Alligator mississippiensis: one gene and its partners. The protein of the gene in region 2 purifies or fractionates together with the protein of the main gene of each other region. This does not show direct contact. Links are inferred from orthologs where the notes say so. Each region holds a gene or a part of one and is shown on either strand. Other genes may lie near its edges. The genes, in order: DHX9, STAU1, tubulin alpha-1A chain and ELAVL1.

Region 1 (7,852 bases), on a different chromosome or scaffold from region 2:
AGTCTTCAAGAGGAGGTTGGATATGCATCTAGCTGGGGTCATCTAGACCCAGCACTCTTTCCTGCCTATGCAGGGGGTCGGACTCGATGATCTATTGAGGTCCCTTCCAACCCTAACATCTATGAATCTATGAGGCTGGTACAACGCTTCACACCACACAAAGGAAAGAACAGCTTATCTTTACCCACTTCCCAGCAAAACAACAGGGTCACCAAATCCTCTCGTACATCTGACACATACTAGACCTCACTGGTGACTGCTTCTTTCATTACATATATATGGCCGCACACATACATAAGCACTGCCCTTTACTGGGTCAAATCATAGGTCTGTCTTGCCCAGTCTCCCATTTCCCACAGGCCCTTCTGTGAGCAGGAAGAGACATGGCTGTAGCCCCTGTACTGCCTCCTCCAGAACCTCTTGCTGAGGTTCTAGCTGCACTTCTTCCCTCACCTGTTTATTTAAGTGCTCCCTGTCCATGGCCCTACCAAGTCCCAGAACCTCCTGGTCAACCTCCTCCTAGCCCTGGCCGAGCTGGCTGTGTATCTGACAAGGAATGCGGCTCTGGCTGGGAGGGTCCCTGGGGACTGCTTTCCTTGCCCTGCTTTACTCCTGTCTCCAAGCAAAGTATCAGCAGGCAGTGCCTGCTGGCTCCTTGGACTCATTTGAGGGCCAGTGGGTGCTGTTTGGTGTGCTCTGTTCAGTGTCCCCACTCGGCATGTTTGTTTTGAAACTGAGTGGCACTTCCTTCTCTGTTTTTTCATTATTTGCTCCAAGAAATATGCTGTCCGTTTTTCCTGTAGCTTCCCTGCCTAAGGGAAGCCAATGAGAGACTTGGTGGGCTGGGCTCACGTTTTAAAGGGTGACAAATAGGCCTATTTCCCACAGGCCCTTCCGCGAGCTGGGTGAGATGGAGCTACAGCCCTTGTACTGCCTCCTCCAGAATGTCTTACTGAGGTTCTGGCTGCACTTCTCCCCTCACCTGTTTATTTACGCACTCCCCATCCATGGCCCTACCTAGTCCCAGAACCTTCTGGACAACCTTCTTCTGGCCCTGGCCAAACTGACAGTATACCTCACCAGGAAGGGGGCTCTGGCCAGAAGGGTCCTCAGGAACTGTGGAGCCACTTCCCATGCCCTTGTACTTTCCTGTCTCGAGGCAGAGTATCACCAGGCAGCATCCACTGGTTCCCTGGATTTATTCAGGGGCCAGTGGGCACTGCCTGGCATGCTCTGCTCAGGGTCTACCCCTTGGAGCACTTTTAAACCTGAGGCCTCTTTCCCATCCCTGTTTTCACCTCAGCTGTCCCCTGCGCTCAGGTGATGCACCAAGGGGGAGGCCATGGCCCCTGGGCACAGGCCTGGTGGGGTGGTGCTGGCCAGGTCATAGGCAGATTAATGCACGGGCAAACTGGGCACACGTGCCCAGGGGCCCATTCCAATTCGGAGTCCTGGGATCCTCACCAGCAGGGAAGCGAAAGCCACAGTTTAAACTCAGTGCCCATATCTGGCACCAAGTTTAAAACTGCGGTTTTCACGTTTGCTTCCCTGTGAGACGGAAGCAGGGCTCCTCCTCCACCAATAGGGCTGGAGGAGAGGAGGCAGGACTGGGGTCTTGCCTAAAAAGCTGTGCTACATCTGTGGGCTGAGTGGCGCTGTCTGGTAGGGAGAGGGCTGGGCTGGGCGAGTCACGCCTTACCTGGAGCGGGGTGGGCTGGGCAGTTGGAACCAGGCCAGCCAGGCCAGGAGCACCCTGCCACATTGCACCTCTGTGGGCCATGGCACTGGGAGGGCCTTGGGGGTTAGAAACCCCCAAAATTCAAGTTGGCTCCTCTCTGTGTCTGAACTACTCCCCCACAGGGCCACTGCCTGCCTGCAGAGACATGGTGTGGTGACCGTGCTCCCCACCGGGTCCAGTCCAGCTTGGCCCTCTGCATCTGCAGGGCTGCTCGGGACAGCCAAGCAGCAGCTCCATGCACATAAGTGTAAAGGGGGCTCGGAGGGGGAGTGAAACTGAGCCGTGGACAGCTCCAGGGAGAGGGCAGACAGCTGTGTGTGTGCATGATATCTTTTGGGGGGGGGCTTGCTTCCGTACAGGGGTGTGTGTGTGATATCTTTTATTGGGGGGGGGTGTTGCTTCCAGTACAGCTGTATGTGTGTGTGATTATCTTTTACTGGGGGGGGCTTGCTTCCAGTACAGGGCTGTGTGATATCTTTGGGGCGGGGGGGGGGGGGCTTGCTTGTGGTACAGGTTGTGTGTGTGTGCACGATATCTTTTATTGGGGGGCTTGCTTCCGGCACAGGGGGTGGGCGGGTGGGTGTGGGCTCTGCCATAGGCTGCTAGGGGACCCCTCCCTCCCGTTCTGCGACGGAGGTGGGGGCGCAAATGTAAGCATGGGGCCCCAGGTGCCAGAGACCCTCGGTACGCCACTGAACTTGTCTGTGGGACTGCGCTCCAATGCCCGGCCTACACCACCACGGGTGCGTCTTTCCTCACACAGCCCCTGCACTTCCCCGGGAGCCCGGCTACCTGCCCCGCGGCAGCCCCGCCCACACCCAGGCCCCACTCTCCCCTCAAAGCCCCGCCCCCACAGCGCGCGGGAGCAGCAGCAGCAGCAGCAGCAGCCGCCGCACGACGCCCCGCCCCGCCGCACCTCGCACTGGAACTTCTGCCGGTTCTTGTTGCCAGCGGCGCGGATCTCGTAGGCCGGCGTCACCTTCCTCTTGCCACACCAGGCGTACAGGAAGTTCTTCACGTCCCCCATGGCGGGGCCGCCCTGCGGGCACACGCGACAGTTAGCAGCTGCCACAGCAGCGCGCCCCTCCCAGCCCTCGCAAAGGCAGCTTCCAGGTGGGACGGAGCCCGGCGGCGACTGCGCACTAGCACCGCCCCATTCCGCCCGGAGCTACGCTTTGCAGCCGCTGACCTGCGTCGTTATTTCCCAGCCCGGCCGCTGTCACAGGTGAGACGCGCGGCCCACCGACCCCCGCAAAATGGCGCCCGCTGGACGCATGCGCACTGAGCAGAGTGGTGGAGCCGGCCCGAGGGGCGGGGCGGGGCAGCGCCCCCAGCGGCCGGGGGCCTGCGTGACTCGCAGCTAGCGCCGGGTCCACCACGCACTAGTCAGCACAGAAACGCTTACCCTGTTTTTGGAGGGTGCTAGTAAGCGTTCGCCAGCAGAGTCCTTGGGACAACTAAAGCAAACAGACAAGAGCGAGGGTCATAGACTAACAGCGAGTGCTCTGTGGGGGGACACGGAGCAGCATGCACCACCCAGCACCCACTGGCTCTCCAACGAATCCAAGGAGCTGGTGAAACTGCCTGGAGATGTGCATGGATGAGGGACAGAAAGATGGCCCCCCCAGTCACCAGGGGTCCTCCTGGCTGCATCTTTCTTCCTGGGCAGATAGATGGCCAGCTCACCTATCTATGCAGGAGGCCCCTGCGAGGACAGGAGCACTCGCGTCATGCAGATTCCATAAGGGCCAGAGATAAACCACTGGGAGTGAAGGGTCTTTATATTAGCCTGTTTAAAGCTCTTGCTGCTTTAACTCCAATGAGTAAGCAAATAAAGTAAGCCTCTGCTAAAGACTCAACATGCATCTGTCATACAGGGGGTAGGGCTCACAATAACTGTACTGTGAGAGCTTCCAGCTAGTGTTGGAGCAAGGCCTAGGAAGAGCAGATGTACATTGTTGATTTTGTAAAATTAAAAAAAAAATTAAGGAATTTAAAATCTAAAAAAATAAAACTTGAGGTTTTCCTTGTACATCAAAGTAGCCAAAAAAGGGGACAGCTCAGCTGTTAAATAGGCATTGGTCACTTTTACATGATGCAAAAACAAAACCAAGTGTTACAGCTGTATGTAATCATACTGTCTAGGAGTGCCAGGACTGAGACTACAGGCAGATGAAGAGGTGCAGGGGAATGCACTAGGGGGCACAGAAGCTGTGCCATGACTTACTACGCAGAGACCACATTAGCCAGGACAAGTTAAAGTGCTGCTCTAGCTTGTACTAGGAGCTGGACTAGAAACGGAAGAAGTATGAAAAGTAGTTGTGAATAAGTTACTATTGCCGCCTTACCCTTCTGCTGCTCCAGGAGTGTCAAACATACTATAGCCCACAAGCCAAATCTGGCCTGGAGACCTTTTCCTGGTAACACGCAAATGCCTGGGCAGGACCCATGGCATTGGAGTCCCAGCAGTATCATAGCTTGTTCCCATGGCAGGTCGCTGGGCCTCTTCCTTCCAGGCCCCAGACTGGCTGGAGTGAGCACCATGGGTGCTAGGATCTGGCATGTAGGGGAGGGTCCGTGGGCTTGATCTGGCCTGTGTGGCCATCCCCATGCAGTTCAGCTAGTCTGTGGGTTGGTTGTGCATCAATCGCTTGGCCTGAAAGACCAGATGTATTTGACACCACTGTGCTACCCGAAGCTGAGATAAAAAGTTGGTGTGGTTTAAGGTAATGCAATTGGGTGGTTAGCAGAATTATACCCAGAACAAAGTTGGGTTTTATTATAAACCAGGGAACATAAGAAAAGCTGGGACTTGCTTCCTAAGCTTAGATTTCTCATTTTCTTGCACAGAGTAAAAGTCCTGTGAAAGTCCAGTGTCAATTTTCAGTCAATTCTGCAAAGTCTTGAGCACTCAACACCTGGATCCAAAGTAATACTGTATATAGTTAACTTCAAGTATCTGAATAGTCCTTTTTTAGTCGAAGTGACCATCTCATTTTAAAGTGGAGTATGTGCTTAAGGGCTTATTTGATCCCAATCCAGGAAACTCAGCACCTGGAAGGCCAGGATCCATATAGAGAAGGGGAAATAACCACAAAAAAACCAACATTTGAGAGAACAGAACTTAAATATACTAATGCTAACTTTAGTTTTCCAGCACAATGGCACATGCAAACCATTCTGGCTAACCATATTAGCCTCACTATGCAAGGAACACACAGTAGTTTATCTAGATAGCTAGGCATTTTAGAGAACTAAACAACAATAGTAACACCCTTGCTATTAAAGAAGAGACAGAGATAGATAGGAAGGCTGCTATGCTAAAAGGAACAATTAATGGAAACTACTTTTGACTCTTTGCCATTTTTAGGTAAAAAAATAAAAGTGTATCCTGGATATACAATTCCTGGCTGTGCCTCTCATACTGTATTTCTGGTTGGATTGATTTTAGATGCTCAGGCATAAAATTACCAATTCTTTTGTGTTTTGTGTAGGGTTTTTTGGTCAAAATTGAAGATGAAGGGGCAAAAACAGAACCAGGGCAGCTTGGGTTGGCAAGCCCTAGCACCAGCCACTAGGATGTATTAAGCAGAGGTAAACACAATTTAGGATTTCAATCCGGCAGGAAAAGTTTCAATATCTTAACATTTGTTTTCATCCCAAATTGCAACAAAAGTAAAAACAATTACTAACTTCTTTAAAAAAGAAAGAAATCAATTCCCAGTAGAGTGGCACCTGCCCCTCTACTGCCTCACAAAGGGCATTTTTCCAAAGCAGAAAGAAAACAGTGATGCAACTATTTTTAAGAATGTGTTTATGATCCCCAGAACCCACAGAAATATAATCAAAATGTTACACAAAAAAGTTCATGAAGAAACCCAGTTTAATAATTTGGTAGCTTTGTTGATTATCAAAACAAATAGAAGTTACTCATTTGAAGATCACATATTTAGATAGGTTATTTCTATATTACCTATTATTTAAAAAGTGTCTTGTTTTGTAAACATCATTAGAACAGCAGTAACAAGATTTCATTCTCATTAGAAATAATCCTAAAAGTAACAAAATAAAAGCCTTGGGGAAAACATTCTAGAAATTTTCCTAGAATAGCTCTGGCTGGGAGTGTACATGGGCATACTTCTACCTAGAACCCTGGAAGGCTGGCGCTCTGCAGTCTCTCTCAAAGGAATGGTAGCACAAGAACTCGGTGCAGATGCACATACTCATTGGCTGATGGGGAGATCATCTCCCTTTCCATGTCTGACTGAAAAGAAAGCTTATTTAAATTTCTTATACATCTTTGGAAAAGTCTAGTCAACCATCTAACTCTACCTTGGCTTCTAAGTTTGTGTTCTGCAATTAGAAAGCAAGACTTACACCCAAAGAAGACCAAGTCAAGGAAATGTGAAAAATGCTGCCAGAATTCTTGTACACAGAGATGGATAGCACTTTACATTAAACTTTACCATAGTGCTTTATCATAGTATACATAACTACGCAAGGTAAAAGGCAGTGGAGAATTAGGTCCAGTATGTATAATGGAACTCCTTAACCTTAAAATACATGACATTCTCAAAAAAACTTAGTGGTAGTGCTCTCTACTGCTTTATAGAAACCCCTGGGTCAATTCCTGCTGCAACTCCATGGCTGCTTTGGCTAGTATGTACTGGAAGAAAGGAAGAGGGCAGCATATTCAATCATTAGAGCAGGGGTAGGCAATAGGCATGTGCAAAGCAGCAAGTATTCACTTGAATTCAGATTCAGCTGATTCGGAGGGACAGTGATTCGGATTCAGAGATTCGATGCTGATTCAGAGATTCGGCCGTAGACTATGTGGCCAGGTGGGATTGACTAACAAAATCTCCCTCCCTGCAACTCACCTCCCATGCCTTGATGTAAATGGGAAAATAAGAAGTTAATTCCCCAGCAAAAGAGGGCATAGTAATTCACCTCAGAAGCAGCATAAAAGTAAATTGGTTTATTAGTGAATTCCCAGCAGGATCTGGGTAATCCCAGCCATTATCACAGCCTGCAGTCTTCCTTCTCCCTTCACCACAGTGCAACCCACTCCCCCTAAGCCTGTCAGCTCACCTCCAGTTTCTCTCTCTCTCTTTCCCTTGTAGGCAGAGACATCCCTAGGGGTGTGCGGGGCTGGGGGGTGGTAAGTAGGAGGTTGGGGGGGAGTGGGGGGTGGCCAGCAGCTGAAGCAGGGGGATGGTGGTGTGCAGCTGCCATGGCGGAGCTGGCAGTGCACAGCAACTGCAGCAGGCACTGTCTGCAGGGCCCTCCAAAGTGCAGGGCCTGGGGCAATCTCCCCAATTTGTGCGCCCCCCCCCTCCAGGGACAACCCTGCTTGCAGGTATCAGTGGATTCTTCCTCCGTGGGACTGTCTCTCCACCTGAGGATCCACCTGGTAAACGTCTCCCCTCTCTCACCTCTTTGTTTTGCTGGCTGCCATGGTTACCTTCACCTGGTCAGCCGGTCTAATCAGCAATCTGCTCCAGCACTGGGTTTGCTGCTCCTGGCTTTCCCCACAGATTCTTCTCATGCTCTGCCCCAGGGGGAAAAGAATAGCCCTCTGGCTGTGGTCTTTAGTAGTTGCTGGCCCTTAATCAGGTGAAATACCTCTCTGATGCGATCCCTCTCCCAACTGTGTCTATTAAGTAATTATCCTTGCCCTGTCCCTGACCCAACTTCCCCCTGTACTCGCAACTCTGTAGCAACAAAGGAATTGGGCTATTCCTTGCTCTGTTAGACTATAATGGGAAATCACTAAAATACCTATAACTTTGTAATTATTTTACATATTTGGATGAAAACAGCAGGGATGCTAGCAGCTCTTAGGGCACGGAGCCTGCCAAGTTTCAAGGAGATAGGTGCAAGGGTATCTGTGAAAGTGCACCTCAAAACTGTTGAAAGCAAAACTCATATCACAAAAACTGCAAGCCTTCCAAATCTCCAAATCTCGCCAATACAATTTGGACCTTTTAATGGGCCTCCCGATTCGATTCAGATTTGGAGATTCGGCTGCCAAATCGGGCCGAATCAAATCAGTTACTGAAGCTTCACACAGCCCTAGTAGGCAACCTCTTCCAGCTGCAGGCTAGAATAACC
Region 2 (7,123 bases):
ATTTAATGAGTCTTAGTTCAAAGCACCCCAGTGCCACTTTTCAGCACAGGGATGCTGATACACGTGACGCAAGAGGCTGCTGGAGTGTGGTAATTTCTCTGCTCCCACAGACTCAATTGATTGAGTCTGTTCTGACCCACTGGATTTCCAGCATGTCAGAGCCAGCTCCCTGCATGTCTATAAGAGCCCATGGTTTTGCTACCATAAAGAAAAAGCTTATAGGCTGGGGAAAGCTTTGTCTCCTACAAATCTTAATTATCCCTATTTTACATTTGTTCAGTGTCATGGAGCTGCTTTTGTTTGGTACACATCCATAGGAACCTTTCATCACTTCCACGAACAATTGGTCAATTGTCAGCTGCTGTTGTAGTTTTCACCTTTGCAATATCCTTTGAAAGAAGGATCCTGGTCTCAAAGGGCGTGCCCAGACGAGTGCGCACACGTGTTTCCCTGGGGACAAATAGCAGCATCACATAGTTGTGCCGCTGCTACTTGTTTCCAGGGAATGTCCACGCATGCACACTGTGGTGCGTGGCAGGTTGCCCCAGGTGGGGTAGGGGAGGCTGGGGTCAGGTCTTAGGGGCCTCCCAGGGCTCCAGCAGCAGAGATCCAGCATGTGGAGCCTGGCCAGCAGCTGGAGTGTGGCTCCACCTGGGCAGGCTTGTTTCGGGCAGCGCATGCTGCCACTAAGGCTGTGCGAAGCTTTGGTCCTTGATTCAACTCGGTGGAGATTTGGCCTGATTTGCTGGCCGAATCTCTGAATTCGAATTGGATCAGAGGACCCTGTAATCTCTCCAAATCCAATCAGAACCCTCCAAATCAATTTGGAGAGATTTGGTGATTCGAACGTAGACACAGCTTTAGATGTTTTTTCTACATACCTCTAGGTAGCAGGGGCTCATGAGTGCTGAGATGCTGGGGCGCATGGAGTGTCCCACCAAAGTGCGGGGGGAAGGGGTCCCAGTGTGCTCAGCAGCAGACCCAGAAGTGGACCAGAAGCACTTCCACCCACTTCTGGGTCCACTGGAGAGCGCACAGCCCCCCCCCCACTGCTCGGCGACTGATGCCTCCAGGGTCATCGGGGAAGGGGGGGTGGTGCCCAGGGTCCACCCGTGGCTGATCACTGAGCCAGGGGGGTGGGGGGCGCAGGGGGCCCCTGGCACACTCTCTAGTGGACCCAGAAGTGGACTACAGTACTTCTGGTCCACTTCCAGGTTCGCCGCTGAGCATGTGGAGGGCCCCACGCACTCCTGTCGGATGCTCCATGTGCCCCAGCATTGCAGCATTCACAGGCAGCGCCTGGTACCTTGAAGTGTGTAGAAAAACATTTAAAGCTGTGTTTATGGCCAAATTCCTGATTCTCTGAATCAGCATTGAACCTTCAGATTTGGATTTGGCCGAATCAAATCAGGGACAGTGATCTGAATCAACTAATCGAATCACTGTCCCCAGCTCAGGCTGAATCAGAATCTGAATCAAATAGGGCCTGCTTCACACACCCCTCCCTAACTGCCACCACACGTGTCATCCTGCTTTTTTCAGCTGTGGGTTTTTTACCACCAGGATCTCTGATGTCAAATTAGCAGCATGGTGAATGCCTGCATATGTAGTACATGCGGTTTCCAGTGCCACAGATGGGTCTGCGGCACCATATACCACGTGTGTGCTCGTCTGGATGTGCCCAGACTCAATCTAGTATAGCAAATGTAAAATTACTTGAGGTTATGGATTTTTGCCTTGATATGCAGAAATATGAAGTTTAGAAGTTATGTTCTGCTTAAAATCTGCAAAATCAATAGATTCATAATTCTTTTTTTATCTGCTAGCAAGCTAATATTTAATTAATATGACTGAATTTATTCCATGTGGTTAATTCAAGAGGGTATGGTTTAAATGTTAATTTACAAGAAATACTCAAGCCAAGGTTTGTCAGTGGCAATTAGTTAATGGCAGCTTCTTTGATTTTTTTTCAGCTATTGAAGACCAATACAAATTAAAAACACATATGCAAACCAGACAAAGATACAGCTGCTTGGACCATTTTTACATTCCAAAATTCAGATTCCTTTGACTTAAACAAAATAAGTTCTGAGTGTATAAAACACAAATGGATGTCTCATTAAGCCGCTGTCATCACTTGAGTGTCCAACTTGTATTTTTTTTGTCTTTTATCTACCCAACAGCAGTTGACTCTTTCTAACAAATGGCAGTACTTATAACTTGTGTGTGTATCTTCAGTGTGATCACACTTCTTTCATTTTGGAATTCAATGGGCTTTAAAAGAAAAATTAATCTTTCAGAGTGATTCTTTGGTTATTCAGTATTTGAATTTGCTAGAACATCAAAAATGAGGTCTAAGACTATGCAAAGACCTCTGAGTGTGTGCGCTGAAGACTAGATCTTTTCAGAGAGCACACAGCACAGCAGCTGCTACTTGATCATCTTAAACACAGCAAATCCCTACGTTAAACTCCCAGAACTGAACTGTTACGTTTCTTGTTTACTTCAGGCTATATTCGCTACTAAAATGCATGCATTTCTAAGCAGAAACCTGGTGTTTTAAATAAAATTATTCCACTAAGCCAGAAAGGAAGGGGGGAAAAGAAATTTACTGCTGTAAGGAAGAGCTTCTTTAAAGTAAGGGGACCAGAATCTGGAGTGGACTTCCCAAGGAGGTGGTGCAGTCCCCAACCTTGGAAGTCTTCAAGAAGAGACTGGGCAGACACCTTACTGGGATCATTTGATCTCAGCAGTATTCCTGCCCAGAGCAGAGGGGTTGGACTTGATGATCTTTTAAGGTCCCTTCCAGCCCTTAATTTCAATGATGATGATGATGATGATAAAGTGTTTACTACAGGAGCATTTTCATTCCAAAAAGCATAATTACAGTAGTGTTAGAACAGTGATTCTGTGCAACCCCCCCGAGCTAGGCCACCTTGAGATCCTTTGAGGAGCGAGCGCTGCAGACTGCCACGCAGCGTTAGCACAATTAGGCGTGCAAACATGATTCACAAGATGAACCTAGTTTTCAAACATGAATCTGTTGTGTTCAAAAATACATTTTGCCCTGGTGTGGTCTGACTTCTTAGCAGCAGCAAGATTGCTCTGGCATTTTTTGTGTAGTCAAGAAACAAGCAAAACCTAAAAGCTGGCATTTTCCAAAGGGTGCCTCAAATCTATGGAGAGGGGCGAGTCTAAAAATAGGTATACAAGCACTGTAGTCCCGATCATCCAGGAATTGCCAGAGAGGCAAGGATTTTTGGGGGTGGTGTCTTTTAAGATCCAGCTCATCCAAAGCTAGACAAGCTTCCCCACAAAAGGCATTCTTCATCAGATCACTTTTTGCATTAAAAAAAAAATTGTCTAACTTGATCCCAACTCTTGCCCAAGTACAGCTCTTGCTCCGAAGCTGTAGCGCGAGCGATGCCCCCTACACCCGAGGATCTCTTGTCGGGAAACTCTTTACACAGGAAGAAGAGCACACAAGCATCCTTATCTCCATCTGCAAGAGAAGACTTGTCCACCTGTGCGGGGAGCTTTAATGAGAGCACCGCCGCGTCTCGTGTATCAGCATGCCCGTGTTTGAACACGGTTTCCAGCGAGCACTAGTTCACACGCCCCTGCTGCCACGACGGGTGGTGATCCAAGAGGCTGCTGGAGCGCAGCAACCACGGCGCTCCCGGAGGCTCGAGTCGTGGCTCCGCAGCGGTGGAAGTCGCCGCACACCTGCAACCCGAGCGGGCGGGAGCAGCCTCGCGCCACGCCGGCGCCCGCAGGCCACAGCCCGGCCCCTGGGGGAGGCTTCGAAGCCTCGCGGCTGCACGTGGCCCTCCCAGCAGACTGCAGTGCATGCTGGGAGCCGTAGTCCCGCCCCCGCAGTGGAACGGAGGCATGCGGGCGCCGCGGCACGCCGGGACTTGTAGTCCGCCGAGGGGGGGCGGGGCCCGGAGCCGGTCCGCCGCGCGATTGGCTGCGCCTGGCCCGGGGGGCGGGGCGGCGGGCCGCGGCGGCCGTCCCGGTTGGCTGCCCGGCGCCCCCTGGCGCTGTGCCGTCACTTCCTCCCCGGCCGGAGCTGGCCCCGCTCATTCTCTTTAGTGTTTGCCCTGTGCCCGCCGCCTCCCTCCGCACCGCGAGCCGCCCCCCGGCCCCGGCCCCGGCCCTGGCCCCGGCCCATGGACTGAGCCGCCCGCCCGCCCGCCCGCCCGCAGCGCCGCCGGCCGGGAGCCGCAGCCCAGGTCGCAGGTGAGCGGGGGGCGGCTCTGGGCCTAGCGGGGCTGCGGCGGCGGCTGCCCCGGGCCCGGCGGGGGGGCGGGCGGGCGGGCGGGGCCGCGCGCTGTCGGCGGGACTCGGCCCGGGGCGGGGGGCGCGGCGGCCCCGGGCTCCCCCAGCGCTCCCCGGCGCCCTCGGCTCCTCCCCGCCCAACGCGTCGGGAGGCCGGGGAGCAACAGGTCCCGCCGCCCCGGGGGCTCCTGCTCCTCTGCCCGCCGAGCCTCGGGCCTGGCCCCAGGGCCCCTGCTCCCCGCGTGCGTCTGAGGGGCCTTCGTGGAGAGACACCGGCTCCGGTGGCCGCCGAGCCGTGTTGGTGCGCTGGTGCCGACTCCACACGTGCGTCGGGTGCGCTGTTTGCTTTGGGGGCAGAGGGGCTGCGCGGCTCCCTCCCCTGCCCTGTGGTTTTCTACTTTCTCCTCCGCTCCCCCGTTAGCACGTGGCGTTTCACGGGGGTCGTAGGAGCGTTACAGCAGCCACCCCCCTGTTCGGGAGGCCGTCCGGACGTGTGTCGTGCCGGCTTGGGTGTCTTAACCTCGGTGGTTATCCCACAAAGTTGAGCTACTGTCAGACTGGCCGGTATCTGCGCCGCGGCCGTGCGGTCGCCGCGGGGTTGGGGCGCAGTCGAAAAAGCGTGGGGGACGTCGCTGATATTATGGAGGAACAAAAATTCCAGCCTTTGGAGATCTCGGTTGTAAAGCCCCGTGTTCACTGGCGTATCGAGCAGCCGTGACAATGGTTTGTCTGTCTGGAACAAACGATTCTAAAAAAGGAGTTCGTTTGGCCCTTAACTGCACTTTCGGTAGTTGCCTTGACAACTTTCCTTTAGATGTGTCAGTGTTAGTATTTATGTTGATTATTGTGGTGGATGAGGCCGAGAGAGAAGACATACGATTTATTTCTATGTTAATTGAAATTGTTAGCCTTGAGTGTATTATCAAACCGTGGTGTGGTTTAGCAAAGTAAACTATATTTAATTTAAAATATGTCGTGATGTCAACTACCCAAGTTTTACTGTAGCGTTTAAGTGTTTATCTCAATCCTTGGCCTTAATTGTGTTGCCTCTGTTGGGTTTCATACTTGTATTGCGTGCTTCCAACACCTGATATCCTCATCTGCCAGGTCTCTGTTCTGCAGAGCCCTTCTTAAAATCTACTTAGAATTTTTGTCAGCTGCTTTTTTTTTATCATTAATCCTTTGCACCTTCTTTCCTGATTTGTTTTGTGGTTTTGTCCTATTCACAGTGTTTCCTGCCCTGCAGAGTTCACTTCTTATCTGCATTCATGAAGCATCACGTAAATTATCAGCTGTATACATTTTGAGCGTCTCTCATAAATACTAGCTTAGAGATGTTCCTTGGCTAATCAAGATCTTGTCAGAGACACCTATTTCCTTTTTAAAAGTTTGTCCAAGGATGAAACCTTGCTCAACTGAAATGTTTTTGCATTTTTGTAACTCATTTTGGTCTATAATTGGCAGATAAAGAACTAGCACCTTTTTGTGGCAACTGTTTAAACCTTTCTGTAGCAAATATGTGATTATTTTGCTTTAACATTATAGAAGTTAATCTAGATATTAACGTTAGCGCAGATTTGTACTGTGGTTGGTTATTGGATATATTGGGAAATGAGCCCTCTCTGCAAAAATGATTATTAATTTTGGAAGAACAATTCCATATTTCCATAAACATTAGGGAGGCTCAGGAGTGAAGGGCAGCAAGCATAACTATTAGTCCTTATTATTTAAATATCTGTTAAAACCATGTTTCTAATCTGTATCTTTTTTTTTTCTGCTTAACTGCCTGATCTTCCTCAACCTGAAGAAAGGGGACCTGGATACTTGTCAAATTCACTGCAGCTAGGAAGTTACAAGGCTCATGTGTTTTCCAAATAGCAGTGGGAAAGGGAAAACTTTTGAGCAGACAACATGCTGGGATGATTGACTGGGGTGAAAGAGTCCACAAGTGGACCTGAAGTAAGGGTTAAAGCAAAGGGTAGAATTGTAGGATCCTCTTTTACAGTCAGGATGCTTTTTAGGAGACAAAGGGAGGAGTTTCATATTAGCTCTGGTTTGTAAGAAATACACTTGAGAAAATAATAGGCAGTCACCAGCAATGAAGTTAGAAATGGGCAATAATGACAAATGGTCGTTGGATAAATTCCCAAATGTAGCGTACTGCTACATCTTATGCATGTTTGATGTATTGTCCCTGACAGACTCGAATATGATTTCTTTATGCATTGATAAGCATTGAATAGTTTTTTCATGCCATTAAGATATTCAGTTAATGAGAGATGGAAGCCCCAAATAGATTCAGAAATGGCATTTTGGCATGAATTGCCACACCCTTTGTTTTGCAGGAGCTTATAGTATTGTAGCTGGGTTTCAGGTCCTCTAGAACCGCAGAGGTCCCTGTTGTGCCTCGGACATCTTGCAGGATGCCATGCAGGTCAGTGAGTGCTAGCTCCACAAAGGCACTTGTGCCTGATGGTGATGCTCAGATATCATCAGTTACTTTTAGGTGCTTGGCCATGACAGTGGAGGCCACAGCCCTAAGTTAGGTTCCTATGTTTATACTAAGGGATGCGAGGCAGTCGGGTACGATTCACAACGGCCAGCATGAAGAAACCACAAGTTAACGAGTTAGAAGGTGCTGAAGAGGCAGGTGTATCTGCTATCCCACTTTTTTCTTGAACTCAGTAGCTCTTGATTCAGTACGCAGGTGAGATTGAGGTTCACAGGTATAATCCCTGAGAAGGGTTTTGACATGTAAGTCATCCCACTTTGAGGCTGGAAGGTGGCTGACATTTCTTATAAGAGACCCGGTGATAGGACCTCTTTATTATATAATAGCCTG
Region 3 (7,885 bases), on a different chromosome or scaffold from region 2:
CGGGGGTAGGGCACCAGGTTGGTCTGGAACTCCGTCAGATCTACGTTCAGGGCCCCGTCGAAGCGCAGCGAGGCGGTGATGGACGACACGATCTGGCCAATCAGCCTGTTCAGGTTGGTGTAGGTGGGGCGCTCGATGTCCAGGTTGCGGCGGCAGATGTCGTAGATGGCCTCGTTGTCCACCATGAAGGCACAGTCCGAGTGCTCCAGCGTGGTGTGGGTGGTCAGGATGGAGTTGTAGGGCTCCACCACAGCTGTGGAGACCTGCGGGGCCGGGTAGATGGAGAACTCCAGCTTGGACTTCTTGCCGTAGTCCACAGACAGGCGCTCCATCAGCAGGGAGGTGAAGCCGGAGCCGGTGCCTCCCCCGAAGCTGTGGAAGACCAGGAAGCCCTGGAGCCCGGTGCACTGGTCAGCCTGTCGGAGAGGAGAGACAAAGGAAACAATAGCTCCATTATCCAGCTGTCCTGTTGGAAGAAGTTGGTTTCCAAGGAGCAGGAAGGCAGGAATGCGAGTTCTCTTCTTTCCTTGCCTAAAAAATTCTTCCTCTTACTCTGCAGTGTTCCCAGCTCAACCCACCCACCTGGGACACTGCTCTACGCTGCCGGAGTTTATTTGCCATAGAATAAGAAATGTGGCCACGCATTAGCTGCCAGGGCTGATAAGGTCATTTTAAATAAGTACAGAGAATGCTATAATTGTAGGCAAACACGGTTGTCAGAGGTGCATGTTGAATGACATTTGGAGCGCTGCTAGGCCCTCCTTTCCCATTTGAAAGACTTGGTGCTTCAGCAGCCAAAGTGCGAGAAGGTCACCTTAGGGAACTGGTGGACATCCCTGGGACAGGAATGTGATGGGTCTAACCCAGCTTGTAACAGCAGCTGCCTCTTCTGCACAGACAGAGGCAGTTTCAGTGCACTCAGTACAGCAAGTTGCTTCTCTGACCTATTCAGGATTTAAACAAAAGAACTAGCTTTCCTGCTTATACAGCTCCTAATCTATGAATTAATGTGGTCTAGGGAGTAGAGTTACTAATTATAAATGCCTTCCATTGTAACTGGATTCAAACTCCACATAACACTTCCTTTGTTAAATAAATAGTATTTTAAAAATATATTCTTGAAAAAAAGGCAGCTTCTTCTCATGGATCCAGACTACGGAAGGCAGTTTTCTTAGCCAATACCATTTCAAAATGCCTTCCCTGTCATTTTTAAATTGAATATCACTTTCCATCTAAATGTAGCTTGGCCCAAATCAGAAATAATAATAATAATAATAATAATAATAATAATAGGAAAAGGCAAATGATCCTCAGCTTGTTTGCTAAATTTTATTATGAATATTAAAGAAAGAAATCTACATAAGTGCATGTTGGGCTATAGACTTTATAGCTAGTGCGTGTGTTTGGTTAACAGCCTTGGACCAGCCAGTGGGAAAGGAGCCTGCTGGGAAGAGAACCAAGAAAGAAACATAAAGTAAGAGAGACTGGAGATTAAATATATACATATACGTGCACGCACACATGCGCCCCGTCATCCATAAGACTCCCTTGTCCTTGCCCCTGCCTAACCCCCCTGCAAGAGAACTGATGCATACCAGCTTGCGGATGCGGTCCAGCACCAGGTCGATGATTTCCTTGCCGATGGTGTAGTGCCCACGGGCATAGTTGTTGGCGGCATCCTCCTTGCCTGTGATCAGCTGCTCAGGGTGGAAGAGCTGGCGGTAGGTGCCAGTGCGCACTTCATCTGGGGAGAGGGGAGGCAGGAGCCCATGAGCAGAGTGCCGCATGTCCCTGCCCAGGCACGGGCCTCATGCAGGGGCTCACCTGAGCACAGGAAGATGGGGAAGCCTGTGTATGTCTGGGGTGGGGGCTGCACACTCACCTATGACGGTGGGCTCCAGGTCCACAAAGACAGCCCTGGGCACATGCTTGCCAGCTCCGGTCTCGCTGAAGAAGGTGTTGAAGGAGTCGTCACCCCCACCAATCGTCTTGTCACTGGGCATCTGCCCATCGGGCTGGATGCCATGCTCCAGGCAGTACAGCTCCCAGCAGGCATTGCCAATCTGGACGCCGGCCTGGCCCACGTGGATGGAGATGCACTCGCGCTGCGGAGAAAAGCCGGAGAAGAGAAGCCATTAGCCTGGCAGCGGCATGCACTGGGTCCACGCTGCGGTTGGAGCTTTCTGCTTCACACCCGCCTCTGCCCTTGCAGCGCCCCAACGTGGGAGCCATCATGGTCCCCGTCGCATGTGGGCGTGGCACAGACCAAGCTAGCGGCAGCCTTTGCAGGGCATGCAGCCAGCGCAGCCATTGCTGGGGAGCGTCTTGCAAGGAGCCAGTCCCCCAGCACTGCCAACAGGGTGGGGGGCCCCACCGGGGAGGTGCCAGGGGACTGTCACCCGCGGGTGCGGCCACACCCAGCTCTCCCCCAGGACCCATGGCGGGGTGTCACCCTGCAGCTCAGCATCGCCCGCCCCATTGTTCTTCCGGGTCCCAGCGGGAGCAGCTGGGAGCCCCCCGCTCAGCCCCTCCGAGAACCAGCTGGGTTCTCCCGGCTCTCCCCACGCGCTGCCCCTCGCCCCCTCCCCGACGCCACCCCCGTGCGGGCCCAGGCAGCCCTCGCCCGGCCCCGCCCGCGGCTGCGCTGGCTCCGGCCGCTTCCAGCATGATCTCATCGGCGGCCTCGCCAGCTCCCTCCCGCCGCGCATCAATGGAACAAAGGACCAGCCCGGCGCCGCTCCCGGCCCCGCCTCGGGGCTTTGTGGACCCGCGCCCCCCTGCCCCGCATCTGGGGCTGCGGCCGCCCCGTCCAGGCAAGGGCGCGGCTCCCCCGCACGGACCGGAGCGCCCGGGGCACGGGACGGGGGCGGCAGCTGGGACCGGTCCGGCGCAGCGCGGAGCCGGGGGGACCTGCCGGCCCTTACCATGCTGCTGCTGGCGAAGAGGCCGGGAGAGGAGGCGGCTTCTTACAGCGCGACTCTTATGGGGTCGATGTAAGAGAACTCGTGGCGCGGCCCCCGCCCCGCGCCTATATACATCCCCGTCGCCATGGGGACGGGCGGGGGCTTCTGCGGTTGGTCCAGCCGCCGCGGGCCGCCCGGGGAGGGCGGCGCTGATTGGTGCGCGGCGGATGGGATGAGGTCATCCCCCCCCCCCAGCATCCCGGAGCCGGGGGCATCCTCAGACAAAGGCAGCGGGCGGGGCCGTGCCCCGCATCCGCACCCCGCCCGCACGTCGGGGGCTGCCCTCGGACAGCTCTGTGAGCCCCCCCGGCCCGGGCTGGAAACCCACCTGCTCCAGAGCCGGGGGGCAGGGCTCCTTTGTGCGGGAGAAGGGGTGGGGGGGCTTGGTACCCGCTGTGCAGCGGCTGTGCCCCCCCCTTGCCCCTGCCTGCGGGATCCGGGGCACCACCACGCCCTGCACCGCAGCTGCCGACAGGGGCTGGGGGGAGCAGGGAGCAGCTGGGCTGAGCCAGGGGAAGGGCCCTTTATCCTGGGCACGGCTCCCAGACCCCATTTCCTGCCTGGGCTGAGCCAGGGGATGGTCCCCTTTGTCCTGGGCGCAGCCCCCAGACCAGATTTTCTGTCCTGAGCAGCCCCCAGACCCCGTTTCCTGCCTGGGCTGAGCCAGGGGATGGTCCCCTTTGTCCTGGGCGTGGCCCCCAGACCAGATTTTCTGTCCTGAGCAGCCTCCAGACCCCATTTTCTGCCTGGGCTGAGCCAAGGGATGGTCCCCTTTGTCCTGGGCATGGCCCCCAGACCCCATTTTCTGCCTGGGCTGAGCCAGGGGATGGTTCCCTTTGTCCTGGGTGCAGCCCCCAGGCCCCATTTTCTGCCTGGGCAGAGCCAGGAGAAGAGCCCCATTGTCCTGGGCGTGGCCCCCAGACCCCATTCCCTGCCCTGGCTGCTCCCAGCACTGGCACTTTGCCTTCCACTCCGGGCCCCTCCCTGCTAGTCCCGAGCTCCCTTCGGTTCCCACCCCCCAGGTTATTCCTGGGCTCTGGCACCCCAGAGGTGTCTGTCCCCAGTGCTCTCCAGCTGCAAGCACACAAAGCCTGGGCTCCTTTGTCCCAGAACTGAGGGCTGAGGAAGACCTGGACTCAGCCCTAACCCCATCTCCCATCCACTGTGAAGCTGCTGAGATACCGGGATCCGGGCACCAAGGAATGAGGCCCCGGACAGCTCCTTCAAGGCTTCAGCTGGGTCAGACATCCTGTGCCATGGAGCTGTGCTGAGGACACGGCTGGGACAAGGGAGCCAGAGGCAGGAATTGGCCCGAGCCCTGTGACCAGGTGGGGCTTTTGGCTCTGTCTAGCCCCGCTGGAGTATGTGGAGGCAGCCCCTAGCCTGTACCCAGCCCCTGCCTCCCTGCCTGGGCACAGGGGCAGAGAGAAGGACTTGGAGCAGTGCTGCCCCGGCCTGAGCATGGGGCCCCTGGATGCTCCATGCCCTCTTAAGAGGGGGCAGGGACAGGTCGGGAGCTCAGCTCTGCAGGCACCAGCCCCCTCCTCCAGCTGCCTGCATGGGGCAGGAAACGGCTCCAGCTTTGTTTTCACCCTCGTACGCTCTGCTTTGGATACTCGCATCCTGATCGTTGGTCCCATCTGCTCCCAGGGTCACATCCTGCTGGGGGCAGCGGATGCCTGCCAAGGTCCCAGCCTGGGCATTGCCATCAGCAATTGGACAAGGGGTGTTTGGAAGAGGGGGAAGGCACAGAGCTGAGAAGTGCTGGAAGCAGGAGTCAAGGCCGGGCCTGGCTGGGGCCCCGAGCCAGGGTCCACACTGACCCCCCTACCCTCCGCAGCTGCCTGTCCCCAGCCCCTCCTGTCACCCTTGGGCGAAGCCCCTGGGGGATGGTGGCTGTGGCTGGCCCTGGTTTCCCCCACGGGAAGGGGCCTGGGCAGCTGGACTCCTGCTCTGGGAGGAAGGAAAAAGCAGAGGTCAGAGCAGGGGACTCGGACACCTGCATCCAAACCCTGCCCTGCCCTTGCACCATGATGTGGCAGGAGTGAGGTCACCACTGCATGCCTCAGTTTCCCCCTGCAGAGACCATACCCCTTGTTCATCATCGGGGGGGGCATGAGGCTGAATATAGAGCCTGCATCATAGGTCCAAGCCCCAAGGGGCGGGTGCGGGATGGAGCCAGAGGCTCTGGAGATCCATGGAGGGTCTCTGTGGCTCTAGGCTCACAGCCTCATTAGGTATGCGAGGCAGAGTCCTTCCCCCCCAACCGCTGCTAGGCAACGAGCTGGTTGCTAAGAGCTGGAACAGGAGGCCCTGGTGGCATTCGCTCTTCCTTTATCACCTTGCCCATCACGTGGCCTGCGGAAAGCCGCTGCCTGCTGCGCCAGGGAGGGAGGGGGTAGGGGACGGTGGGGCAGAGAGGGGACCCTGGAAGGTGACGGGGTCCCTTCCTGGTTCCCTGGGGCAAGAGGAGTGGGGCAGGCCGACAGGGCGAGACACTCAGGGCTGCAAAGCTGTGCTAATCCACCACTGCCCCGCGCCCAGGCATGCATGTCAGCCCTGCGTCGTCCTGCCAGGGTCCTGCTGCCCACGCCTGAGCATGGGTGTCAGCCCTGTGTCCGTGGTCCCCCTGCCCACAGGAGCTGCCAGTGACGGCCTCAAGCTTCAGGCCCAGGGTAGAGCAGCTCCAGGGGCTGGGCAGGGCCACTCTCAGCTAGGAAGGGACTGAGGCCCTGGCGGGGGTGCTCAGCACAGCCCCATCCTGCAGGCTGCTGCCCGGGACACTCACTACACCAGAGCTGCTCCCCACCACTCGGTCCCTGGCTGTGGGGTGGCCTCTCCTGCACCAGCCTCTGTTGATTGTTGGTAGCAACGAGGCAGCTCTAGGAGACTGTTGCTGGGCCTCCCCGGCTGTGTTTGCCGGTAGCCAGGCCTCGCACAGCGATCCCGGGCAGGGGAGGAGGCATCCGGCGGTTGAGAGCCAGCCCCTTCCAACGGCCATGAGGCAGCCAAACAAGCAGCATTGGGAGGGTGGGGGCGGAGCTGGGCCCCGGGGACCCCCAGGAGCTGAGTGCAGGGTGCCCTGTGCGCCCCTGTCTTGGTCCCCTGCGGGTGCAGGTCTGACCCCCCACTTTGCCCCTAACCACAGGAATGCCCAAGGACAGATGGAGAAAGGGGGTCCTGGCTTTGCCTGCTGCAGCCTGAGGACCCAGGAATCTGGGCTTGGACAAGCCCAGCCCAGCAAGCAACTTCCCTGGCTAGGCACAGATGGGCGATCCCCTTTGCAGCAATCCTTTGTGCCTTTCCAAGCCCTGGGGGGAGGAATTTCTCCCCCAGCGCATACAGGCTCTGGACCCTGGCACCAGATGGGCGTCCCAGCTGCCGACCGGCCGGAAGGACACATGGCTTCCCTCTCCGGCGTGGGGGCGGGGAGGCAGCCTGGGCCATCAGCTGCCTGTCTGGGGGCTGCAGCAGCACAAAACGCCATGCAGGAGAGGGGATTGTCTCTCAGTCCTGGGGGTCTGCATCTCATCTGTCCCAGGTGGGGCACCCCCTGCCCTCCCTCCTGCCATCCAGAGGACCCCTGTGCTGTGGGCCCTCCTTGTCCTGTCTCCTCCCAGCTCAAAGGGCTGCAGCAGCAGGGTGCTGAGTGCATCAGGGAAGCCTGCAGCCTGGACAGGGGCCGGCAAGGGGCTTGGCCTGGATGTGCCTCAGTAATTGCCCTTCTCTGCTTCCCCTCCCATAGAAGGAGCATGAGAGCCGGCCAGCCTGGGAGCAGCTGGAGCTGTTACGGTGCCAGGACTGCCTTGGCGGGGAGGAGATGGCAGGACAGAGAGGAGGGGAGCGTGGGAGCGTCCCTGGGATGCAGCTGGGATGACCCTGGGGAGGGAAGGACTCTGGCCTCACTACACCAGCACCACGCCCCACCGCTGCAAACACGCGTGGAGCGGCTCAGCAAGCTGCGGCACGGCTGGGAAGGCGGCCCGGCGTGTTCAAAGCACGCGCAAGCACATGGACGGCAGATGAGCAGGGTGGGGCTGGCAGGACAGCAGTGGGTGCAGGGCATTCTGGATACGTGCATCCTGTCCGCGTTCAGCCTCCACCAAGGCTCAGCTGAGGATGACCCCTGGGTCCCCCCAGGAGGCAGGAGAGAAACAGGGTGGGGCCCTGGCACAGACAGCCCCGTCCTGGTGCGCCAATGCGAGGGGGGGGCCTGCTGATGGGGGGTGACCGAGGGCCCCTCCAGGCTGGTTCCCATGCCGGGAGCTGGAGGGGGCAGGGAGATGGGCTCCGCCTGCCAGCGCAGCACTCTCCGCTCTTTGTCTCTCCTCCTCCTGCCTCTCCCCCTTCCCCGGCTGCGGCAGGCGCGGACGCCCATGGCACGGAGGGAGGAGCCTGGTGGCTCAGCTGGCCCTGGTTCTTCAGCTGGCCCTTCCCTGGCCATCCCCTGCCCTTCTCCCCAAGACAGCTGGAGCCTGTGGTCTGAGCTGAGCCTGGCTGCCTGCCTTGGTGGGGGGGTTTCCAGCTGCAGGCTAGGGACCGGGTGGGGAGGTGGGAAGAGCCTGCTCCCTCCTGGGCTTCAGTGACCCCCTTCCTGGGTGGAAAAGAGCTGGGCATAGCGGGGCTCACTGGGAAGGCCTCCTTTCTGGCTGCCATAGGGCTGAGGGAGCAGGAAACCCATTCCCTGTGGCTCTGGGGCATCTCACCCCGGTCACACAGCGCAGGCTGGCACAGGGACACGGGGCCTCAGGGCCAGGGTGGTGTCCAGGCACACGCTCATGCTAGCACTAATCCAGAGCAGCCACTCCAGGGTAAGGCCCTGCATGGACACAGCAGGGAGATGCTGAGGGCCAAAGTTAGTTCTGGGGCAAGTCCCTGAGTGACCAGCTCCCCTAGGGTAGAGCTGGGCCCTGGCTCTGTCT
Region 4 (7,483 bases), on a different chromosome or scaffold from region 2:
GACGAGTGCAGTGGGAGGGAGGAGAATAAGGGAGAGAAACATCATTCAGAAAAGCAATAAAACATGCAGCCCGAGGGAACCCTGGAAAAGGCAAGATGACAGCGGCCAGGGTGCGCTCCCGGGCTGAAACAGAGGATTCTTTTGGGGGGGATGTAGTGGAGGGCAAAGAAATCCAGGAAGAGCACGGGAGCAAATCCTCATAGGCAGCAAGCCTAGGGAGACACGGAGAGGACCGACGGTGCTGGAGCATGACGCAGGCACCGAAATCCGCTCTCCAGGGATGATGGAGAAGAAGGGATCCGGCAGGTGTAGCCTCCAGCCTCGGTGCGGAAGAAGCCGGGAGCCCCAGCGGCTGCGGGGACCGAGGCATCCCGGCGCGGGACGGAGGGCACCCGAGGGGCGGGGAAGGAGGCAGGGGGAGGACGACGACAAGTAGAGCCGCGGAGGCAGCGGGCGGGCAGCAGGAAGCGGGCACCGCGGCCGGGCTCTGAGGAGGAGGCGGGGAGCGGCGCAGGCGGACGAGGAGCCACGGGCGCTCGGCAGGGGCGGGTCAATCTCGCCCCGGGCTTCCCCGCGCGGCTCGCCGCTGCGCCCCACACCCACCTCCCGCCACCCGGGCCGGCCCCGAGCAAAGCAGCGGGGCGGAGCTGGGGCGCGGCCCCGTTACCTGTACTGCGGCCCGGCGGCGCCGTGAGGGAAGCTGTAGTAGTTGCTGGCCGCCATCTTGGCGTCCTCACAGCCCGGCAGCGCACGAGGCCACGTGACTCCGAGCGGGCCCCGCCCCCCGCGCGTGCGGCCGGAAGCGTGGTCACGTGGGGCCCTGCGCGGTGGCGCAAGCCCGGCTCGTCACGCGGCCGCTTGGCGCCCCCTGGCGGCTTCCCCGGGCGGCGGTCCCTGCGCGCCCAGCCGCATGGGAGCCTGTCCTGTCCCCGCCGCACCCGATAGAAACCGGCGGGAGAGCTCTCGAGCAGCGGCTTCATGACTGGTTGCCTCTTTCTACAGCTGGATAGACATTTTGATGGTGTGATAAGGACTTTTTGCATGCGTGGGAGGACCAGATTTATTGCACGATTAACTGGTTAATTGCATGATAATTAGTGTGCACTTGTGGCCTGTCTAAATTTACTGTGCGAGTAACTCGTTAATTGTGCAATGCATGTAACATGGAGCAGGGCCCTAGAGCTCTGCCCAGCATCGTTTCAATGTGAAGCCAGTGTGCATCTTCCAGTGCACTGCACTTTCCAAAGACAGACAAGTTTCTTTGAATAAATCTGGTATCTTTTATTACACCAACTCAGTTGGGCTTATAAAAAATACCAAATTTACCCAAATAACTTTGTCTGCCTATGTTCTTAGACCAACACGGCTACGACCAACACCCCTTTCACTCTCCAGTGTTACAGCCTCATTACCCAGTCTTAAACGTCATGGTGTTGCTGAAGTGTCATAGGAACATGACAAGGAAAGGACCTTCTGGTTCCAGTGCCAGGCTACGTTCAGGCATCCATGTCAAATAATCCTATGAATAGGTTGATCAAGGCTCAAGAAAATCCTCCACATCAAATGGGAAGACAGCCACACAAACACCAATATTTTTGCTGAAACCAGTTACCAGCCACGAGCTGGCGATCCTCAAGCACCAGCCGTGCTGAATTGGATGTGTGCAGATGTCTGACTCCTGACTCCCAAAACAAGTGCTCTACTCCCAGTTTAGCTATAGCCTGAGCTCTTGTGGCCAGAGGAAATGGTACCAGGACACATTCAAGGCAGACCACAAGAAAACAGATGCCAACATCAAGAGCTGGGAAAAGCTGGGTGCCAACTCACTCCAATGGCACTGGAACCTCAACCAAGTGGCAGCCAATTCTGAGGTAAAACGCCTTGCTCTCAAAGCACGGGAGAGAGAGCAGGGGAAGGAAAATGAGTGAAATCCCAGCGTACATCCAACTCCGCCCTGCAGAAAGACCTGCAACTTCTGTGGACGGATCTGTGGCTCAAGGATTGAACACTTATGTCAACTCAAGATCCATCAGTAAGATGTGGTAAAGATCATCCTCAAATCAAGGGATTGCCAACAACATTCATCAAGCTCCATTTTAAAACTAGTTAGGTATTTTGCCTCCACTACTCATATTGGAAGGCTCTTCTAGAATCTCACTCTGATGCTTATAAGTCTTCTAATTTCCAGCCTAAATTTATTCAAGCCACACTGTCCCCATTTGTTATTATGCCAACCTTGTCCATTACCTTAAACAGCTCCCTTCCCTTCCTAAATTCTCCTATAATGTATTTATAGAGAGCAGTCATGTTCTCAATTTTCTTAAAATATCAATACAATATGATTTAATTGCACCAAAAATAATTCATGCTCCATATGCCAACATACTAGACTCAATGTGTTTTATGATGTGCTAAATGTCACCACACTGCATCATCATGGTAGCACTGTGCCAATGAGCATCACATTTTTTGATTCCATATCATAATGCAACATGAAAGCACTACACAGATGTGTCAGTATGTTGAATCAAAACATCATGACAGATCTAAGACACTGCAGTAATATAACACCACACTTTAAAAAAAGCATAAATCAAAAGTGCTGCTGCTTCAAATCATCACAACTTTACACAACAACGGTTTTCTTGCACTGCAACTGAATATATGCTTGTGTTATGAAGTGATGCCATGGCATAAAAATGTCACGTGGTAAAACAGGACAAAGACTCAGTATGGCCTCACTCTGAGCTGAAGTTTGGACTTCAAGGGCTCAGAGGGTTTTGGAGACTGAAAGGGTTTTAAGACACCCATGACCTTTCTAGAGACAGTTGTGAGGATTAAACTCAGTATTATTTGAGAAAACCCAAGACTGGTGATAACAGAAGGCTGCCATCATATGAGTGAGAAAACTGTAACATGATAGCTGGCAAACAGCAAATTCAGGCGATGGCAGGTGTCCAAATATCTTCAGTATTTTCACAAAGCCTCTATATCAGGATCAGCCAGGTTTGAAATGTACATCATGTGGAGCCTTCCCAAGGTAACCGTGAGGAAGAAGAGTCAGGCTAATGTAATGTCATGGCTTCCCTCCCCTAATGGTTAGTCTTTTTTACTAAAGCTGGTATGAAGCTGCCTCTCAATACTTTCTACATGATCAGGTGTCCCCCCAGCCTGTGACAGAGATGGGGCTGCTCCAAATGCCAGTGTCATGTCCGCAAACTGGAAATTAGAATAGCCCCAAATTTACGGGCCATTAGAACATGACTAGTTGAATAGGATTCACTGGGCAACCAGCAAACTAAGTATTCATGAGTCCAGAAGTGCCAAACAAAACCATTGGCATTAATAAAGTTGAAATCTATTAAAACTCAAGATGGCTTGAAGAAAATTATTTGCATTTTCAGTTTCTGATTTTTCATGTATTCCAAAATAATGACAATTTATGGGCAGTCCACATACAGATACAGGGATGGATGACAGCAAACACATCTGTATGTGTGATCATATCACCTCAATTGTATACCTTTGGCAGATCCAAATTTACCTGCATTCCACCAAAAAGCGTTAGCTCACATTTACAGCTGCGACGTATATTATTATTAAATACAGAATCATACATTTGCGCTTGCGTAACATTTACTGTAAAGAAAAATATCTCACAAAAATTGAAGAAAAAATCATTTTCTGATGTCCTTTATCTTGAGTTTTATCCTGTCCATTTCTTTACGTCAAGGAAGAGCATTTCCAGGCATTTTCCTTTTTAGATTTCAACCCGTACTGCCTTATTGTGCTGAAAATAGCAGCCACGGAGAGTGAGGGGCGTTTCGTTCCATCCCTGCAGATGGAAGTGGGATTGAATGCTTGACGGGAAGGGACGTGGAAGGGATTTTACAAACCCGCCCCTATGAAAAATGGATTGTTTGGGGCGCCCATGGATTATCTCTGGCCAAAAATGTCCTTTTGTTTGACAGAGAGGAAGGGCCAACAAGTGTGAATGGTGCCAACTACCACCCCCAAGCTGGGCCTTGCTGCTCGTCACCACTACAACGCGTGTCTCCTGCCCTCCAGGCCCTGCGGGCAAACCTCCCGCGATGCCAACCCCAGCCCCGCAGGAAAGAAACCCTGGCGCCTGCAAGGCCGTTCCGCCGGCTCCACCTCGCACTTTGCCTCACGAGGTGGACAAGGAAGAGGTGCCTCGTCCAGCCCCCACGGAGCGCTGACACCAGGGGCTCCCGGGCGCGCTGGTGCCCCGCGAGGCCGGCGGGGGTGCTGCACGCAGCCCAGGGAACGATGCGGCCTGGCCTAGCGAGGAAGCCCCGCGGGGCAAGTCTCCGCCCGCCCGCGCCGGGGATGGAGGGAGGACTGAGGATGGGGGACTCCGGACCCCCTCCCCCCCACCGGGAGGTTCCGCCTCCGGTCCGCAAGTGACGGGCGGGCGGCCGCTCCAATGGCTCCTCTGGCACGTGGGCCGCGCAGCCAATGGGGCTCGGCGGGCGGGGCGGGGGCGTGGCCAGCGGCGCTGCGAGCGGCTTGTTGTGCGCTGCGGAGCCGTTCGTGCTGCTTCCAGGCCCCGCCGGAGTCCTGACGGGTGAGGCAGGCGGGCGGCCCGGGCGGGTGCGCGCGCGGGAGGCCGGTGCTGAGGCGCGGGGGCAGCCGGGCCGGGCCTGCCACCGCCGCCGCTGGGGGAGCAGCGGGACGCGACGGGCGGCGCGGCCTGCGCCTGGGCCTGGGGCGGCGGAGCCGGGGCCTGGGGCGGCGGCGGGCGCGCGGCAGGGCCCGGCGCTGCGGGGAGCGGAGCGAGGCGCGGGCCGGCCGAGGCCTGCCTGGGGCCTGCTGCGCTTGCGCGGGCGCCGCGGGAAGGCGCCGTGCCGCGGCGGCGACTCGCTGCTTTTTGTCCCCATCGCGCTTCTGCCCTGAGCCGCCCCCGGCCCGGCCCGGCCCGGCCCGGCCCGGCCCGGCCCGGCCCAGAGCAGAGCGGCGCGGCGCGGCGCGGCGCCGGGCGGGGTTTGTCCGGGCGGGCGAGCCTGGCGCGCGGCTCCCTCGTGCGAGGCCGGGGGGCCGGGCACCGGCGGGGAGGCACGTGTGCGGGAGGAGGCGGGATGTCCGTGTAGGCCCCGCGGATCGCAATGGAGAGAAAGAAACGGCAGAGCACAGCATCACCGGCGGACTCGAGCACGGCCTGTTTTCCCGGGTGTTGCTGCTGCTGGCACAGGCGGTCACTGGTTGTGCTGGGGCTTGTCACCCCTCCTTCTCCTCTTCCATCTACCTGCCCTAACGGGTGGTGGCTTCCGATTTTCTAGGCAGAGTTGATTTTGACTTCAAACGGCTTCATCCTCGCCGCCCGCTCGCACCTTTCCGTCCGCTCCGGTTTTGACGACTTCTAGCTTCTCTGACCAGACTTGCCGTGGCTGTGGCATTTCCCTGTCTAGCCTGGCTGTCTCTGGTGTTTTGTTTTGGGGTGTCCCACTGCCATTTCAAGCTGTTTCTCTAAAACTGAACTGCTTTGGGTGTTGGTGCTATTGGTCCGTACGCCCTGCGTTCCATGTGTGGGGATGGCAGCAGTCTGTTCAAAATATAATCCTTTCTGTGTGCACCAACAGTTGTACTTTTATTGTGTTCTTTGCGTGACCTTTTACTGTACTCCTCTGACCCTCTTTTGCTTTTTTTGGCAAGACCTTGTTGTTTCTTTTTTAACTTAAGCTTAGCCTGTATTATTGGTTTGTCCTTATCTTGGTCACTTCTCACCTTTACCTGTGGTAGCAACTTATTTAGTCTCCTGTTCTTTTCTCTCTTCTCTCACCAACTGCACTAGTTACTGCTGCATATATTTGCCTTTTCTGTAACTATATTTTGAGTCTGATCTGTGGTTTCCTGTCTCCGTGCACATAAAATGCATGAATTAGGCACATAATCATCATTGAAATCTCTGTGCAGCCTTTCCTCTTCCATCGCTACATTAAATCTACTTTGTTTCCCATCTTCTTGCCTTATTCCTTTGGGGCTTTGTTTTTCTCCCCTCCCCTCATTTTGAATTTTTATACCTTCTGTTACTTTTACTTTCTGCAGCTAAACTGACCACCTTGTCTCCGTCTATAGAACCATGCCCCTTTTCTTTTAAAGCCTGTCCCTTGAAAGCAAGTTCACCAGCCTGTGCCCTCTTTTTTCCGCAGGGGTGATGGTTTTTACGTAGCTATCTGATTTCAGGTGCAAGGCCTTCTGGGGTAAAGCTATCTTATAACACGTTAGTAGGACTGAAATGAAGGTTGTATCAAAACAAACATTTAGTTTTGAGAGACCTTTATTGTCTCTGAGGCTCAGACTATTTGGTAGTTATAGAAAACTTTTACAGCTTGTTCATGCTTGGAAATGTCCCAAAGCAGGTATTCTGAAACAGCTGTTTATGTACATTTTGTAGTGTAGATAAATTGTAAAAATAGAAGTCATTCTGAGTTTCCCTCTAACTTTGAGGGTTTCAATCTACTGGCATATGGAATTCCAGGATAAGATAAATTTTTCCTTTCTGAAATTTAAGTTGGGTAGCTCTCCTGTGTCTTGGAACTTAGGGGTGCATGACCTTAGTATGTAGAAGCACCAGGGTGTTGGTGCTACTCATGTATGTACATGTGGGGAGAGTTGTATCATTGGATTTAACTGATGTGTACAAAACCTATTAAAAAAGTTATTGCCTTTAACTTGTTTCAGGTATACCGTAAAAGTTAGGACTGTGATAATGTTCACTGACTCTGGTCCCTCCTTGTTTTATAAAAGGAGAAAGGGTTAAGTTACAATTCCTTTCTTTCCTTGGTCTTCTGAGGAGAGGGTTAGGAAGCTCCACTCTCTACTCAGTCTGGTGGTTAACAGGCCATCTTCTAGAGACTGAACAAGCTGGCATCTCCATTCTGTTCTGCTTTTGCTTGCTGTCACCTTCTCTGTACATTACAAATCCGATCAACAGCACTTGATCTACTGAAATGAGAGTGTAGACAACAGCCAATTCTTGGCTCTGTACAGCTGGGAATTACAGTTCTTGCCAGAGGTGGGTCTGAGGACCCCATGGTCCACATCTGGCCCAGGAAGCCAAACCAGTTTGATACCCTTGGCTTAGACCATGATTGCAGAATTCCAAGCTGGTCCCATGTACTCTCGTTACTCAGAGGGGATTTGGGGAGAGTGCCGTGACCTTTCATCTGTTGAAACAGCTTTGGAGAGGTAAGGATGGCATTTATGGTAGCTTCCATTCTGTCCCTTGTCCTGGCCCTTAGTGTTGTTAATTCCACTCTGAATGAACTGGTTGTAATTTGTCTCACTGCTGGCAAAATTAAGAAAAACATTCTTCTCCAGGGCAGTTATCTTTGTTTGCTAAGCTAAAGATTACGTGTCAGACCCGGAAACTGATAGAGGTTTCAGCCTTCTTGTAACCTTTCTGGAGGGGGTGGTATAAGCATTTACATGGTAGAAAAATAAAGCTGAGTGTATAAGAATG

Evidence for each region.
Region 1: the proteins of STAU1 (region 2) and DHX9 purify together in Homo sapiens (affinity purification with mass spectrometry; 6 studies listed by BioGRID and IntAct, with this or other methods). This does not show direct contact. The link is inferred for Alligator mississippiensis from reciprocal best matches to the Homo sapiens genes STAU1 and DHX9.
Region 3: the proteins of STAU1 (region 2) and tubulin alpha-1A chain purify together in Homo sapiens (affinity purification with western blotting; 3 studies listed by BioGRID and IntAct, with this or other methods). This does not show direct contact. The link is inferred for Alligator mississippiensis from reciprocal best matches to the Homo sapiens genes STAU1 and TUBA1A.
Region 4: the proteins of STAU1 (region 2) and ELAVL1 purify together in Homo sapiens (affinity purification with mass spectrometry; 3 studies listed by BioGRID, with this or other methods). This does not show direct contact. The link is inferred for Alligator mississippiensis from reciprocal best matches to the Homo sapiens genes STAU1 and ELAVL1.

Annotation. Positions count from the first base shown.
Region 1 is NC_081828.1:53,695,499-53,703,350, reverse strand, and holds the start of DHX9 (ATP-dependent RNA helicase A), read right to left. Parts: upstream 3,008-7,852; 5' UTR 2,928-3,007; exon of another isoform or gene 2,778-2,927; 5' UTR 2,766-2,777; coding exon 2,655-2,765; intron 1-2,654. UniProt on the Homo sapiens protein: Multifunctional ATP-dependent nucleic acid helicase that unwinds DNA and RNA in a 3' to 5' direction and that plays important roles in many processes, such as DNA replication, transcriptional activation, post-transcriptional RNA regulation, mRNA translation and RNA-mediated gene silencing.
Region 2 is NC_081832.1:14,183,199-14,190,321, reverse strand, and holds the start of STAU1 (double-stranded RNA-binding protein Staufen homolog 1), read left to right. Parts: upstream 1-4,107; 5' UTR 4,108-4,242; intron 4,243-7,123. UniProt on the Homo sapiens protein: Binds double-stranded RNA (regardless of the sequence) and tubulin.
Region 3 is NC_081838.1:6,695,821-6,703,705, forward strand, and holds the start of tubulin alpha-1A chain, read right to left. Parts: upstream 3,015-7,885; 5' UTR 2,928-3,014; coding exon 2,925-2,927; intron 2,106-2,924; coding exon 1,883-2,105; intron 1,745-1,882; coding exon 1,596-1,744; intron 417-1,595; coding exon 1-416. UniProt on the Homo sapiens protein: Tubulin is the major constituent of microtubules, a cylinder consisting of laterally associated linear protofilaments composed of alpha- and beta-tubulin heterodimers.
Region 4 is NC_081839.1:9,483,554-9,491,036, forward strand, and holds the start of ELAVL1 (ELAV-like protein 1), read left to right. Parts: upstream 1-4,480; 5' UTR 4,481-4,588; intron 4,589-7,483. Other genes in the region: ZFR2 (zinc finger RNA-binding protein 2), read right to left, coding at 668-723. UniProt on the Homo sapiens protein: RNA-binding protein that binds to the 3'-UTR region of mRNAs and increases their stability.